Linked DNA regions of Rhinolophus ferrumequinum. The protein of the gene in region 1 interacts with the protein of each later gene in a biochemical or structural test. Links are inferred from orthologs where the notes say so. Each region holds a gene or a part of one and is shown in the gene's direction. Other genes may lie near its edges.

The links.
Region 2: the proteins of GPRASP1 (region 1) and OPRD1 form a complex in vitro, tested with the Homo sapiens proteins (2 studies listed by BioGRID and IntAct). The link is inferred for Rhinolophus ferrumequinum from reciprocal best matches to the Homo sapiens genes GPRASP1 and OPRD1.

Annotation. Positions count from the first base shown.
Region 1 is NC_046284.1:52,170,609-52,177,882, reverse strand, and holds the start of GPRASP1 (G-protein coupled receptor-associated sorting protein 1), read left to right. Parts: upstream 1-4,266; 5' UTR 4,267-4,394; intron 4,395-7,274. Other genes in the region: ARMCX5 (armadillo repeat-containing X-linked protein 5), read left to right, coding at 1,051-2,508, 4,231-4,254. UniProt on the Homo sapiens protein: Modulates lysosomal sorting and functional down-regulation of a variety of G-protein coupled receptors. Targets receptors for degradation in lysosomes via its interaction with BECN2.
Region 2 is NC_046292.1:19,764,677-19,772,565, forward strand, and holds the start of OPRD1 (delta-type opioid receptor), read left to right. Parts: upstream 1-4,879; 5' UTR 4,880-5,111; coding exon 5,112-5,338; intron 5,339-7,889. UniProt on the Homo sapiens protein: G-protein coupled receptor that functions as a receptor for endogenous enkephalins and for a subset of other opioids.

The DNA of each region.
Region 1 (7,274 bases):
CAGTAACTGAAGAGAAAAATGTGGGCAGCAGAGAGGAAGAGGAGCAGCCCTGAAGTGGGGCAATGGGGAGGTGGAGGAGGGAAACACTAGACAAACTATAAATATAGGGAACAGGGACCAAGGTGTCTACCAATAGATCAGTTTCCATAACCTCCTGTTTGTTTATTTCTTCATAGATCTGCCCTGTAGTTGTGCTGTAGGGCTTGTCATCATTGGAAGCAAGGAAAGGAGGATCAGTGCAGGCTGCTATGGGTGTAGAGACTTCCTCAGTAATCCTATAGGATGAGGTAGTCAAGTTCTGCTTGGGTCCATTAGGAATAAAGAGCAAGTCTAGGGATTCCTCAGTCTCTTTCACTCCCATCCAGTTTTCGCATTCTCCACACTCCTGTTTTGTGTCTGGAAAGAAGATAAGTAGCACCGCTGTTGTAAGGAATATAAAATTAAGGGAGAGATTGCTAATTATGTACTTCTTCCACTTAGCACTGAATTTCCATACTCTCTTGTCTCTCTGTGATAATCAAAATGAGGAAAAAAAATGGAAGAGACTCAAAGCCCCATTTCCTTCCTCTACCCCTAGGTCCAACTTCAGTGGCAGATCTGGTGGCCTTGAAGTGGCTGAAGATCACCGCCCTCCACAGGGCTGTGCTCAGGCACACAGCCATCCTTCCCTTCCCCGAGTGACCTTCCTCTGCACGTTGTTTATATCATTGGCAGAGCCTGTAGTTGGAAAGGGGGCTGAGTGACTACTGGACTTTGTATGAAAACACCAAACTGGAACAGACCTTGGGCCAAGACTGTGATGGGTGGGGTATATAAATTGACCTTGCTTTTAATTTGGTTCATTACTGGCTCCAAGGTTAAGGCAAGGGCAGAGGAGGGGCTGGAGCTGGCCTGAAAGCTGGAATCAGTGGCCCTGCCAACACTAGAACCAAGGCTAAGATCCAGACCAAGGCACTGGCTGAGGGAGAACTGAAAACAGGACCAGTGATCCAGGCCAATGCTTGGGATGTAGCAGTGACGAGGACACAAACAGTGACCTACACTGAGGCCATGGCTATGATAAGGGAAGTGAGCAAGATGGAAGCTAAGACTAAAACTAGAATCATGGCTGAAACTAAGGCAAAACCTCTGGCAGAACCTGGTATAGTGCCTCATAACAATTCAAAGGCCATCCCTACATCAAGGGTCAGTGCTGTGACCAAGTGTGAAGTCAAGGCTGATGCTGGAAGTGAAACCAATATCAGGTCCTTTGCCAAAGCTGATAATAAGGCCAGTATTGGATCTAGGCCCCAGAGAAGGAGAGAGGCCAGCATCAAGTTCCGTACTGGGGACAGAGCTGATATTACAATCGAGTCTAGTGATGAGAATGAAGAAAGTATCTGCTCCTGGTTTTGGACTGGAGAAGAGCCTAGTTTAGGGTCCTGGTTCTGGCCTGAGGAAGAGACCCCTTATCAAGTCTATAAGCCTCCACCTAAGATCCAGGAAAAGCCTGAGCCCACACCCAAACCCGAACTTACTATAAAGCAAAAAGCAGCAGCATGGTCAAGGGCCAGGTATAGTGTCCTAGTCCCAATAGAGGGAGAGGAGCAATCCTTGCCGCCAGAAGGGAATTGGACTCTGGTTGAGACCTTGATTGAAACTCCTCTGGGGATTCGGCCTCTGACCAAGATCCCACCCTATAATGGGCCTTACTTCCAGACCTTAGCTGAGATCAAAGAACAGGTTAGGTATAGGGAAAAGTATGGGCCCAATCCAAAAGCCTGCCGCTGCAAATCACGTGTCTTTAGTTTAGAACCTAAAGAGTTCGATAAATTAGTTGCCCTACTTAAGTTAACTAAGGATCCTTTCATTCACGAAATAGCTAAGATGATAATGGGAATCAGTCCTGCTTATCCATTTACCCAAGATATAATTCATGATGTAGGTATTACTGTCATGATTGAAAACTTGGTCAATAATCCCAACGTTAAAGAACACCCTAAAGCTTTAAATATGGTGGATGATAATTCTGAGTCTTCTGAAGAATCAAAAACAGGAGAGTCACACATACATCAGGTTTGTAAGGACATAATCACTTATCCTTTGAACTCCCCTGTGCAACTTGCTGGACTAAAATTATTAGAGCATTTGAGTGTGAAATTTGAGGATCACCATACAATTGCCAATTATATTCCAGATTTCCTCACCTTGTTAAACAAGGGAAGTGTCAAAACCAAGTTTTATGTTTTAAAAGTATTTTTGCGCTTGTCTAAAAATCAAGCCAATACAAGAGAACTGATCAGTGCCAAAGTACTGTCATCATTGGTTGCACCTTTTAATAAGAATGAGTCAAAGGCCAATATTCTTAATATCATTGAAATATTTGAGAATATAAATTTCCAATTCAAAAAGAAGGTGAAGCTATTTACCAAGGAAGAGTTCACTAAATCTGAGCTTATTTCCATATTCCAGGAAGCAAAAGAGTTTGGTCAGAAACTCCAAGACTTAGCAGAGCACAGTGATCCTGAGGTGAGAGATAAAGTTACACGATTAATACTCAAACTCTGAATAACCGAATGTTCTCACAAAGCCTTGAACAATTTTTGGTGTTGTAATATGAATCCAGTGCATATTGTAAGTTATTATATTTATGTCATCTGTGTTGATTGAAGGAGGCAATTTTATGGATACCAAATGGTCTTGAGAGCTTGAATATTTGTTGATTTTTATTGTGCTATATAAATTGAGATAATTTTAGTATTTTTGTAATAACATGACCTGATAATGAAACTACTCATCCTGAGTAAGCTATTCATTCTTCTGTGCTTTATATTGACATAAATGTATTCATTTGAGACTCCATTTACATGTTAATAAAGTTGCATGCTAAAACTGGTGAAAACAGTGTCCTAGTTCTTCAGTTGAAGTCTAATTCGAGGAATAAGCACAAACAACACAAAGATGACAAACAGCACTGTCTGTATGGAGTTATAAACAAAACAAGTTCACATTGACAGATCCTTTAGTTTCATGTTCAAAGAGTAGAATCACTCTGTTTACAAGAAGACATGACTATGCTACTAGTTGATATCTGGACAGATCTGGAGAAGGGGATGAAGACACAGTCTTGGGAAAAAGGGAACCCAGACACTTCCATTCCGATCTGAGTTCCAGAAGTTGTGCTCAGCCTTTCATATAGGATATCTCATCAGGATACCTTAAACTTGTTAACCCCCAAGAGGATTCCTGATTCTCACCCCCATTCAACAAAGCCACGTTAAGTGTGGTTCTAAAACAACCTAGCCTCACTATGCCCTCAACATCCAGCTACCCCATCTAGAAGTACCAGGTTTACTGCTTCATCTGAGGCTCCCTCCCCTGATAGTCCTGGGCCTCAGAGGAGGATCCTTCTGGAGACCAACTACAGAAACTGCTTCATGGATAGTCTCATTTGTCCTGCCTCAGTGACTTTACTCTCATCTTTGCTTTTATTTGCTGACCAATGCTTTGGCCTTGGTGATTTGCACCTGTCTTTGGTGGCAGCGCCTGTTTTTACCGACCCTTTTTGGTCAGAGTTCAGCTCTGGGAGACAGCCACAGGATACCAAAGTCCTTTAGCAGTGTGTGGTTAGGAAGAAATGAATTCCCCTAATCCTACTGTCCTGTCTACTTATTTGTACAGTTTACAGAGCTGAAGCTACATTGTCTATACCTCAGCTCCTCCTGTTTAGACTTCTGGCTGGGGGTTTGAGGCATAGAATGCCAGAGTATAGATTGGGATCTGGGGTCACCTCTGCCTCTTCCACCCTCTGCCTCTTTTACTGCCCAGAATTTGGAAATACATATATTAGGATCAGTGTACAAATACTGGACTTTCTATTGAACTTTCTCTTTTAACGTTTTATGTATAACACTTAGCATTTTATGTATACATATATTAGGATCAGTGTACAAATACTGGACTTTCTATTGAACTTTCTCTTTTAACGTTTTATATATTAGGGGGAAGGCCTAAACTGAAAAATCTCAAAAAGGTGTCATGTACCCCTAGTTTCAGCAGCTATCCCTAGTTTAATTTCTATTAAGGTTAGATCTGAACTTACATTTCATATATCTAGGAGTTAAAAATGAAGGACAACTAGCCACGCTTGTGCATTAAGGGTGAAAAAAAAGCAGATAAGCTTTTTGCAACATGCAGTTGCAACTTTGATGATTTTAAAAGTTCTTTATAACTTGTTTTTTTAATCCACAGAACTCCCATAGCCTGGAATTCTAGCTGTGGTTACTGCTTTCACAGTTGGGTGCCTTCAAAATACAATTGGACCAGACCCTTTGGAAATATTCTGTGTCTCAAATGCCCTGTGGAGCACACAACCAGTTGATGGCTACAGAATTTTCCATCAGCTAAAGAGAAGGGTGAGTGTGGGATATGCAGGTCTTTGTATCAAAACAAGAAACTGATGGTCTCTTCTTGGGTCAGAATTATGGGAGACAGAGTCATTTTCCAAATTGTTCCTGGGGTGTGTTTGAAGTCAAAACTTCATCTCTTGTTTCATCTCCTTTCTTGGAAAAATAACTCAGGCAAGCCCATTTAGTATCAAGGCTGATCCAGACATTACTTGTCTTAAAATGTTGCTACCTGGGGGTAAAAATCAGTGTGGGTTTCTCATCTTTCCTGCCATGAAGTAAAGCAAGTAATCTTCCAGCACAGCTGGACTATTAGCACCCACTGGCCTTTTACCATGCCCTTAATTTTAAAAGAGGAGCTTTCAGTGGGAATTCATCTATAAAATATCACCAAATTCCTGGCAAGGTTTTCAAAGCTCTGTATCCTTCAGCACCTTTCCATTTTTTTTCTCATTATATCCCACCAAGTAACCTATATTCAAGCAACACTGGACTATTTCTTGATTATTTCATGCACTTACATCCTTTTGTGCATTTTTTCATGCTGTTCACTCATGCTGTAATGCCTTTATAACCCTTTTCCTGCCTGTGGGAAACCTATTCATTATTTTAGGCTCAGCTCAATTGCCAGGTCCTTTCAAAGTCTTCCCTGACACCCTTATCCTCCCTGTCCCCATGTTAGAATTAATAGCTCCTTCTGCATTTCCAGAGTTTTTTTTATTTGTGCCTCTATTCTAGCATTTGTATCTTTATACCATGCCTTGGAGCCTTATGAGTAAGTTGGAGCTTGTGTTTAGGAACAGTGAGCGTAGAGGGGGAAGCTCGAGTTTGAGAGTGTCTGACTCCAATGCCTGAACGATTTATTATGTATAGTTACAATAATTACTAACATTTATACATTTATTGAATTGCTTCCTCTGTACCAGATACTATTCTATGTACTTTACTTGTATTAACTCATTTAATTGCTAAAACATTCCTATGGATTAGGTACCGTTATCCACATTTTACATGTGAGAAAGCTGAGAAACCAAGCTCATTGATTTGGTTAGTAGCAAAGCTGAGATTCAAACCTTTGCAGTTTGAATCTGGAGCTAGCATATATGAACACTTTGTAACTCTGTACCCCTACGCAGCATCTGGTAAAGTACATTGCCCATCCCAAACTTAAATTTGTGTGTTGTTAGACACACCTGTCCCTTATCTTTTCTGCTTCTTCCCTTTGTGTAGGCCACTTCCTTCTTTACCTCCATTCCCCACTCAACTAAGCATTCATGGTCCATCACTTTCAACATGCTTTTGAATTTTTTTTAACTGTGGTAAAATATGTATAATATAAAAGTTGTCATTTTAATGATTTTTAAGTGTACAATTCAGTGACGTTAATTGCATTGACAATGTTGTGCAGCCATCACTACTATCTATTTCAAAAACTTTCATCATCTGAAAGAGAAGCTGGGTAACCATTAAGCAATAACTCCCCATCCCCCCCTTCCTCCAACCCTCAGTAATCCCCAGTCTACTTTTTGTCTCTATGACTACTCGTATGTCTATTCTAAATATTTCTTATAAGTGGAATCGTACAATATTTATCCTTTTGTGTCTGGTTTATATCACTTAGCATAACATTTTCAAAGTTTATCCATGTTGTAAAGCATGTATCAGAACTTTATTCCTTTTAATGTCTGAGTAATATTCCATTGTGTGTTTGTGCACGCACGCGTGCACACACACATTTTGTTTACCCATTTATCTGCTGATGGACACTTGATTTAGTTCCACTTTTTTACTATTATGAATAATACTATAATGAACATTGATGTACAAGTATTTGTTCAAGTCCCTGCTTTCAATTCTTTGAATAAACCTAGAAGCAGAATTGCTGGGCCATATGGTAATTCTATGTTTAGCTTTTTGAGGAACTGCCAAACTGTTTTTTACAGAAGCTGTACCTTGTTATAGTTCTACCAGCAACATACAAAGGTTGCAGTTTGTCCACATCCTCGCCAATACTTATGTTCCATTTTTAATAGCTATCTTAGGTGTGAAGTGGTATCTCATCGTGATTTTGATTTGCATTTCCCTAATGACTGTGGTATTGAGCATTTTTTTCATATGCTTATTGGTCATTTACATACCTTCTTTGGAGTAATGTCTATTCAAGTTCTTTGCTGATTTTTTAATTGGGTTGTCTTCTGCTTGTTGCATTGTAGTGGTTCTTGATGTATTCTGGATACAAGTCATTTATCAGCTACATAATTTACAAATATTTTTTTCCTCTGTAGGTTTTTTTTTTAATGTTCATGATGTGTTTTGACACACAAAAGTTTTTGATTTTTATGATGTCCTATTTATCTATCTTTTTCTTTAGTTGCTTGTGCTTTTGGTGTCATATTTAAGAATCCATTGCCAAATCCAAGACCAGGAAGATTTGCCCCTGTTTTCTTCTAAGAGGTTTGTAGTTTTAACTTAGGTCTAGGTCATTGATCAATTTGGAGATAATTTTTGTATATGGTATGAGAAAAGGGTCTAACTTCATATTTTACATATAGGAATCCAGTTGTCTGAGCACCTTTTGTTGAATAGTCCATTCTTTCCCCATTAAATGGACTTGTCATCCTTGTCAAAATCAATTGGCCAGACATGTTGGTTTATTTCTAAACTCTCAATTCCATTGCATTCATTTCTATGAATATCTTTATACCAATACCACAGGGTTTTGATTACTATAGCTTTGTAGTAAGTTTAGAAATCAGGAACTGTATGTGCTCCAACTTTGTCTTTTTCAAGATTGTTTTTGTTAGTCTGAGTCCCTTTCAATTTTATATGAATTTTAGGATCAGCTTTTCCATTTATACAAAAAAAATGCCATTGGGATTTTCATAGGGA
Region 2 (7,889 bases), on another chromosome or scaffold:
CCCAAGCAACATCGGGATGGGATGGTTTCCTAGGAATGCAGGACCTGGCTGTGCTTCCAGGAGGGGGACATACCCTAAGGGAACAGACAGATAATGGTGTCATGTAAACTGATCTGGGGGAGCAGGGAAGGAAGCGCTATCTCAGCTGAGATGAGACGGGCGGGCGCATAGGAGTGGGTTAGGTGACGAAGGGGAAGGGGAGCTAGCAGGAGCATGTTCCGGACAGAGGAACCATCATCACAGCAATCACTAGCGTATATTGAACACGGCCTATGTGCCAGGTGCTATAAAGCGGTACTGTTGTTGTCCCCATCTTATGAAACTTGCAGAAGAAGTCATGTGACCAGTAAGTGGTTGAGCTGGGATTTCAAATCCAACCAGTCTGAGACCAAAGCTTCCCTCTTAACCAACTAGATTAACCTGGAGGGGAGAGAAGCAGGTTATTTGGAGACCCACAAACAGTTTATTTTGGCTGGAACATAACATGCGAAGGGAAAGACGGTACAACAAGAGGCTGGTGAGGCTGAGGAAGGTGAAAGTGTGCAGATTCCTGCAGCCATGTTACTGCTTGAAGGCAGCAAGCCTGGTGCAGGGAGATCATTTCAGGGCTATTTCAGGAGTTTTAGCAAGAAATGGTGGTGCGTCTGACTGGAAGACAGTAGTAAGAATAAATAACAATGGCAGGATTTAAGGGTTGTCTGGGAAGAATGGACACAACTTGGTGATTGGTTGGAGGTGAGGGATTGGGGGAAAAAGAGGGGAGGCAAGAATGACTTTCAGGTTTCTGACTTGAGCAACTAGATGGCTGGTATCAACCTTATTTCTTTCCCCGATTTGCTGTGTATCCTTGGGGCTCTCACCCAGGCTCTCCAGCTGCCTGTCTTCCTAGCTATAAAATAAAGATAATGAAACTTGACCTCCCCATATATCCGAATGATGTCAATGTAAGATGAAGTCATCAGAGTGCTTCGAAAAGTCAAAAGTACTTTGCAAATGCAAGTGGTTATTATTTTATGGTTATTGCTAAGGTCCTCCCCATCCTGGGATTTGCAGATGGAGCCAGACTGAAAGGCAACCCAGGGGACCTTTCTGCTCCCTTGGAGGATGAGGAGTTGCTGTATTTTCCATCAAGCTGATCTGTCTCTTTGGCAGGTGGAAGCCACATTCCCACGTACTGAATTGTTAATAGCTTCCCCAGGGAGTTTCTTTCTGCTCCGACTCCTTCTGTGATTTCTGTTTCTCCACTGCTGACATCTTCTGATGCTCCGGTTGGCTCAGGATTTCCTGTGCATTTATGTTTTTGTTTTGTTCCCCTGAAGTCAAGGATGGAGACAAGACCCAGCAGAGTAGAACCGTTCCTTACCCCAGGTGCGTGGGGGGCTGTGTCTAATCTGTCCTCCACCAAGAGCAGGGACCGACTTGAGGGAAAACTCTGCCAGGCAGAGGGAGGAGCGATGGGTTCTTGTGTTTTATGGAGGCGACATTCTAGTTTCTGCTCTGAGAGGCAATGTAATGTGGTCATCATGAGACTGGCCTTTGGCGCCCCACAGATCGGGTTTGGCATCCTGGTTGTGGTTTGGGCAGGTAACCGAACCTCTGTAAAATGGAGCAACGATAGTAGGACCTCACACCTCTGGGGCTGCTGAGGATTGAAGAAGATCATCCACAAAGCACTTGGCCCAGTGCCTGGCACATAGCAAGTGCTCGACAAATGGCAGCCAACAAGATCATTTATGAGTTGTGACCACAGAAACGAGGCTGCCTTTTAAAGATGAATAGACGAGAATGCTCGCATCCAAGTAAGAACTGACCTCTTCAAAGTACTCACTTTGGGAGGCCATTGGGGAAACCCTTTTAGATGCCTTTCAAGTTTCCACCGTCCTTCCGATGTCCTCAATGGAGGCCATTCACGTGCACTTGGCTTGTGTGCTAGTCAGTTTGCGCTGCTGTAACAAAGTTCCATGACCCGGGTGGCTTATAAACAACAGAAACGTATGTCTTATAGTTCTGGAGGCTGGAAGTCCAAGATCAGGGTGCGGGGTGGTCAGGTCCTGGGGAAGGCCCTCTTCGGGATTGTAGCCTGCTGATTTCTTGCTGTGTCCTCACATGAGAGAGCAGACGGCAAGCAAACTCTTAAAAGGGGCAGTCCATAACTGCCTGCACGGTTTCTTAGCAATTATGGTATTTTGCTCATGTATTGGGTCAGTTACGTATCTTTCCAGCATCTTGACTGTGAGCTCCTCTAAGAGAGCAATGGTCTTACTCATCCTTATGGTTTAATAACATCTGCTCAGGCAGCCTTTGTCAGTTGGCAGAGAATCTGTTATTTCACCAGATCCTCACTCAATCCTTATAGATGAGGAAACTAAGTCTCAGAGAAGTGAAGGGAATCCTTTTTCTGTCTTTTGCCTCCACCATAGCTATGGTTTTCCACCATAGCAGTTCTGTCTCCAGGAGGGACTCAAAAAACCTTGTGGAATACAATTTAAAAACATACTCTTCAGCCCAGTGTGGCTTGAGAGTGAGAATGAGGTGTGGAGAGTGGATGGAGTCAGAAGACGGCAGCAATAAACCCTGGTTGGGACCAGACTGGGAGGGCCCCAAAGGCAACTCCAAGGAGTGAGAGTAGACTTGCTTGGTGACGGCCAAAAGCCAAGGGCTGGCCTGGAACTGGCATCTAGTATTTCAGGTCCAAGTAAGATGTGATTGCTGAATTTGTGCAAAGGGTTTCCATTGCTTAGAAGAATTCCTAGGTCCTCTAATAAGCTATGTCTGCTCTGACTCCCTCGCCGAATGGGATCTCACCCACGTTGGAACTGAACTCCCCATTCTATCACTCATCGAGCACCAGGGGCTGTACTAAGGTGGGGGTACATGAGTGCACAAGACCTATTGTAAAGGGGATGCACAAAACCCCAACGACTACATAAATAAATACGGGGGAAATTCTGTAAAGAGGAAGTATATGATGCTACAAGAACAAATAACACGAGGACCTTGTTTATTTGATAGGAGGCGGGAGGGGACAGTTAGTGAAGTGATATTTAAGCTGAAACGTGAAGGATAAATAGCACTTAGCCTGGGAAGTAGCTGAGACTTCCAAGTGGAATAAATAGAGTGTGCAAATGTCCTGATGTAGGAAAAAGAATTTGGCTTGTTGGAGGGGTAGGGAGGGGGCCAGAACTCCAATAAAGTAGCCCTTTTCTTTTCCTGCCCTAATTTCTTTCCTCTGGCACCAGAAAAGTCTCTGAGTACCAGGCCCTTTGGGACGGGGAGAGTTTTAGCAGCAAATGTGACCACAGAGCAAAAATCATCTGCCTGAAGAGTCCTTAGATGGTTGAGTGGAAAAGCCTTGGGGTGAGGAGTCTACTGTAGCTGGTAGAGAAGCTTGGACAGCAGCTGGGAGGGGCAAAGAGAATGGAGAGGAGGCTGAACTTGGGAATTCTGCTTTTGTTCTTTCTGGGAAAAGGTAAGAGGCTTGCATGTAGATGGATGACTCAAGCCAGAGAGTGATATGAGTGAGGGGGTTCTTGCCCAGACACTTTAGGGCCAAGAGCATTGTCCCAGAGCCTAGAGCTCGGGAACCCCAATGTGGTCCCATTCCATTCCCCGTTGGGACCTTTATTCATCCAACTAGTATTTCCTGAGCACCCACTCTGACCCCAGCTGTCCACTGGGTGCAGGGATCAATCAGGCCTGGTTCCCAAAAGAGGAAACAATTTCTCAGATAGAAATAATTGCCATATGGGATAATTCAGTGTCTAGCCTAGTCTTCTCATCTGTAAAATGGGGACACTAATAATAGAATCTACTCCAAAATGTTGATGCATGGATAAGGCACTTATCACAGTGCCTGGAACAGAGTAATGGCTGCAGAGCGAATGTTCCGGGGAGGACAGGAGCCCCAAGAAGGAGGATGGCTCTACTAGATCTGGGCTGGTCAGGTTAGGGAAAGAGTGTGGGAAGTTCTCCCCTCCCATCTGCTCCTACAGCAGCCACAGTGATCTTTAGGGTGGTCTTTGAGACCCTGCCCACCCTTCTCCGAACGCTGGCTCCCTGCCTTCTCTTCCTGGCCTCCTTTTAGTCCCTTTGACCACAGTGTCTTTGCACATATGGACCTGTGGTTCCTTTGGTTTCTTCCCTAAGTTAGTTCATCTCCAAACTTCACGTCTCACTTTCAATGTCATTTCCTCAGCGAAGCCGTCATGACCTCTGGGTTTTGTAGCCTTTGCCGCAGGAAAGCCTCGCTTCCTTCATTTCCTCAATTTGTAACTGTATCTTCATTAGTGTAATTTTAGAATTGGTGTCTCTCTCCTCCACTGGGCTATAAGCCCCAGGAAGTAGGAGCTGCATCTAGTGAATCCCCAATAGTACCTGGCTCTTATACTCAGCACCCCCAAAAAATCTGTTGAGTGAATGAATGGGGTGCAAAAACCCATGGATAATAATGGTTATTTATGGAGCACTTCCTCTGTGCCCGGCACTGAGCTAAGTTCTTCACTCACATCATCTGAGCTAATCACCCCAACAACCCTCTGAGGGAGGTGGTGTGATTATCCTCATTTCACAGATGAGGGTAATCAAGTTGAGAGAGGTTAAGTGATTTGCTCAAGGTCACTGCTCTTGAATGCAGGGACAGGAGGTGGGATTCACATCCTGGTCCTTTTGACTCCAAAGCAGCAAAGGGGTGTGGGGGGGGTGAGTCCGGCTGGGTGGGGTACACCCGAGCTCTTGAGGCATCTCTAGGGAGGGAGTGGGAAGCCTCCTTGGCCCAGCACCAAGCCGGTGGTGCAGAGCCCGCCCCTGGTCCCCAGCGTAGACTAGCGGCCGCCTCCGGGCCACGTGGTGCGCGCGGCGGGTGCGTCCGAGGAGCCCGCAGAGGTTCCAGGCTCAGAGCGCTCCGGGCGCTGAGAGCGGGCGGGCGGGCGCCAGGACAGGGCCGGTGCGGGCGGCGAGGTGGGCGAAAGAGGCGCGGAGGCAGCCGAGCGGTCCGGGCGCTGCAGCCAGCGTCTTCCAGGCGGCGGCTTCGACCCTTGGTGCGCCCATCATCCCAAGTCTCTGCGCCCAGGGCGCACGGTGGGGAAGGATACGGCTCCGGCTCCCCGGCCGCCATGGAGCCGGCCCCCTCCACCGACGCCGAGCTGCAGCCCCCACTCCTCGCTACCACTTCGGACGCCTTCCCCAGCGCCTTCCCCAGCGCGAGCGCCAATGCGTCGGGGCCGCCAGGTGCCCGCAGCGCCTCGTCCCTCGCTCTGGCCATCGCCATCACCACGCTCTATTCGGCTGTGTGCGCTGTGGGGCTGCTGGGCAACATGCTCGTCATGTTTGGCATCGTCCGGTGAGTCCGCTGTGGGCTGGCGCCGTGGGTCTGGGCCTGGGGTGAAGGTGGGCACTGTGGACTTGGGACCCTGACCTCGGACCCTTGACTCCCAGGGCCTCTATATTTCCTGCAGGGGGCGCATGGGGCCCAGCGGGGAGACCTCTTCCATTGAGAGGAAGACACCGGAATTTGTATCTGTGTGTGTGTGTGTGTAACTAAATAACATTTGATCAACTGTTGCATCCCCCTGCTTCTGCATCAGGCTGTGTGGGACAGTTTGGCAACAGTTTGCGTCTGTCACAGTTTGTGGGTGGGTGGTTCTGTTTGTGACAGTACAAATGCATTGTATGTTTGGATCTCTGAAACCTTGCTGGAGTGGGCAGAGATGCCCAAGGTGCCCTGGGCCTGCGGGGAGACAGCTGTGTGTGGGCTGTCTATGCAGGTGGGGGCACAGGAGAGAGAGAGAGAGAGAGAGAGAGAGAGAGAGAGAGAGAGAGAATTTGTACCATGCTGTGGGAGCACTTACCAAATCACATTTGGTGATCATCTGTTGATGTCCCTGTGTTGATGTGTGCTTGTCCCACACTGTCAGCTTGTGATTTCTCTCCGAATGAGAATGTGACAGTATGACTGTTGTTTCTTGTGAACCCCGGAAACCCCAGAGCATCCAGAGTGGCCTTGGACACTTGTGTCTGTGCACCTATGTGTGTTCGCAATAGAGAGCCCATAGTTCCTGGTACAGTGGGCAGCAGCTGTGGGTCAGCCAGTCAGTTCTCTGCACCTGGACCGTTGCCATCTGGTCAGGAGCTCTGGACCTTGTTTAGAAAGGCCTCACGTCTTCCTCACAAGTGCCCTTCCCATTTTCTCCTCCTCTCCTAACAGTCTTTTTTTTCCTTTTTTTTTTTTTTTTTTTTTTTTTTTTGTCAAAGGCAGCAGTGGTTTGTTTTTGGCTGGAGTTGGTGCTTTCACCTCAGGAAGTGAAGCTCTCTTCTTAGTATCTGTGGATCTTCACAGAATATAAAACATCGCCAGCTTACCCCAGAAGCAGCCCCCGGACCCAGTTCTACCAGTTCAGACATGGGCAAAGGGATTGAAAGGAAACTCCTATCCTTATGATAACAAAGAGGCCCTGGTATTTACCATTAGTTGGAAATGGGTCCTCCATGCTGGTTGGTCGAGGGCACAGCCCTAAACCTCTGGGCAGTGGTGCCACCAGGCAGGGCAGGTTGTGGATCCAGGTTGGAGACATGAATGTGGTCTCAGCCCAGTTACTGACGCTCATCAGAGTCAGGGCAACCATTCCCCCAGCCCCACCTCCCACCTGCCTCAGTTTCCCTGTCTGAAGGATAGCAACCTAATCTCGACTGAGAGATACGAATTCCAGAGTATGGGTTGCTGCAGGGCAGAGCATAGTGCACTGGAGTGCGGTACTGGATGAGGGTGCGTGGGTGTTGAGGGGGCTTTGGCGTAGAGATCTCTGAGGGATCTTTGCTCCCCCAGGAAGAGTGGAGGCCACAAGAATTTCCTGTGTTTTCAATGACTCATCACCAGCTACAGTGGGAACATTCCCCCAAGCACAGGCAGGATTGATCTTCGTTTTGCATTTTTGTTGGTGATTCTCCTTACTTTGCCTTCAGAGATTGTACAGGCTGTAGAATCAGGCCAACCTGTGTATGTATTAATCCCAGCTCTGCCACCAACTGGCTCTATGACTTGGGTAAGTCACTTAGCCTCTTTGAGCCTCACTTTCTTCTTCTACAGAATGGGGGTAATAACAGGACCTTCTTCTACAGGGTTTTTGTGAGGTGTTGATGAGAGAGCATATATAGTGCAGCTGGACCCAATAAATGGAAGCTGTCTGTGTGATAAAGAAGAGGAATTTTCTAGATCCTTCAGAATCCAGGGCCTATTAAAGAAGGGAGAGTAAGGGAGGCGCTTGTCTCAAGATGGGCCTGAGAGTGGCTACAGTTCTGCGAGTTCCAGGTTCCTGGTACATACTCATATGCCCTCTAGGGGAGCCCTAGCTACTCTAGTCTGGGGAAAGCTGACCATCAGTGTGTTCAATTCCACTTCCAGCCTCTTCCCAGGGCCTCTGGCTGGGGGGCTGATGAGCACAGCTCCCCCACTACCGTTGAGCCAGGGGAGAGCCTCTCACTTCTGAGGCTCCACTCAGGGAAGGTCCCTGGCTCAACATGCTAGGGGTGCTCCCAACCAACCTTCCCCAAATCACATTGTCAAAGGTATTCTGACAGCAGCGTAATGACCACCCATAGGTCCCCATGTTGCTAAGACATTTCCCGGGCCAACCATCTAAGTGATAACTGTATCTCTGTGTCTGAGTGATCTAGTCCTCACCTACCATCCTGTGGGGTAGGCATTAGAAGCCTCATCATTATCACCCCATTTTACAAATGAGGATCTGGGGTTCAGAGAGGGGCAGATTCTTAGGTTCTTGTTCTAAGGTCCAACAGCTAGACTAGACCCAGAGCTAGAACCCTGGTCTTGTGACTCTAAGTCCAAAACCTTTTCCAGAGCTGCCTGGGATAGGGGACAGAGAATTGTATGGAAG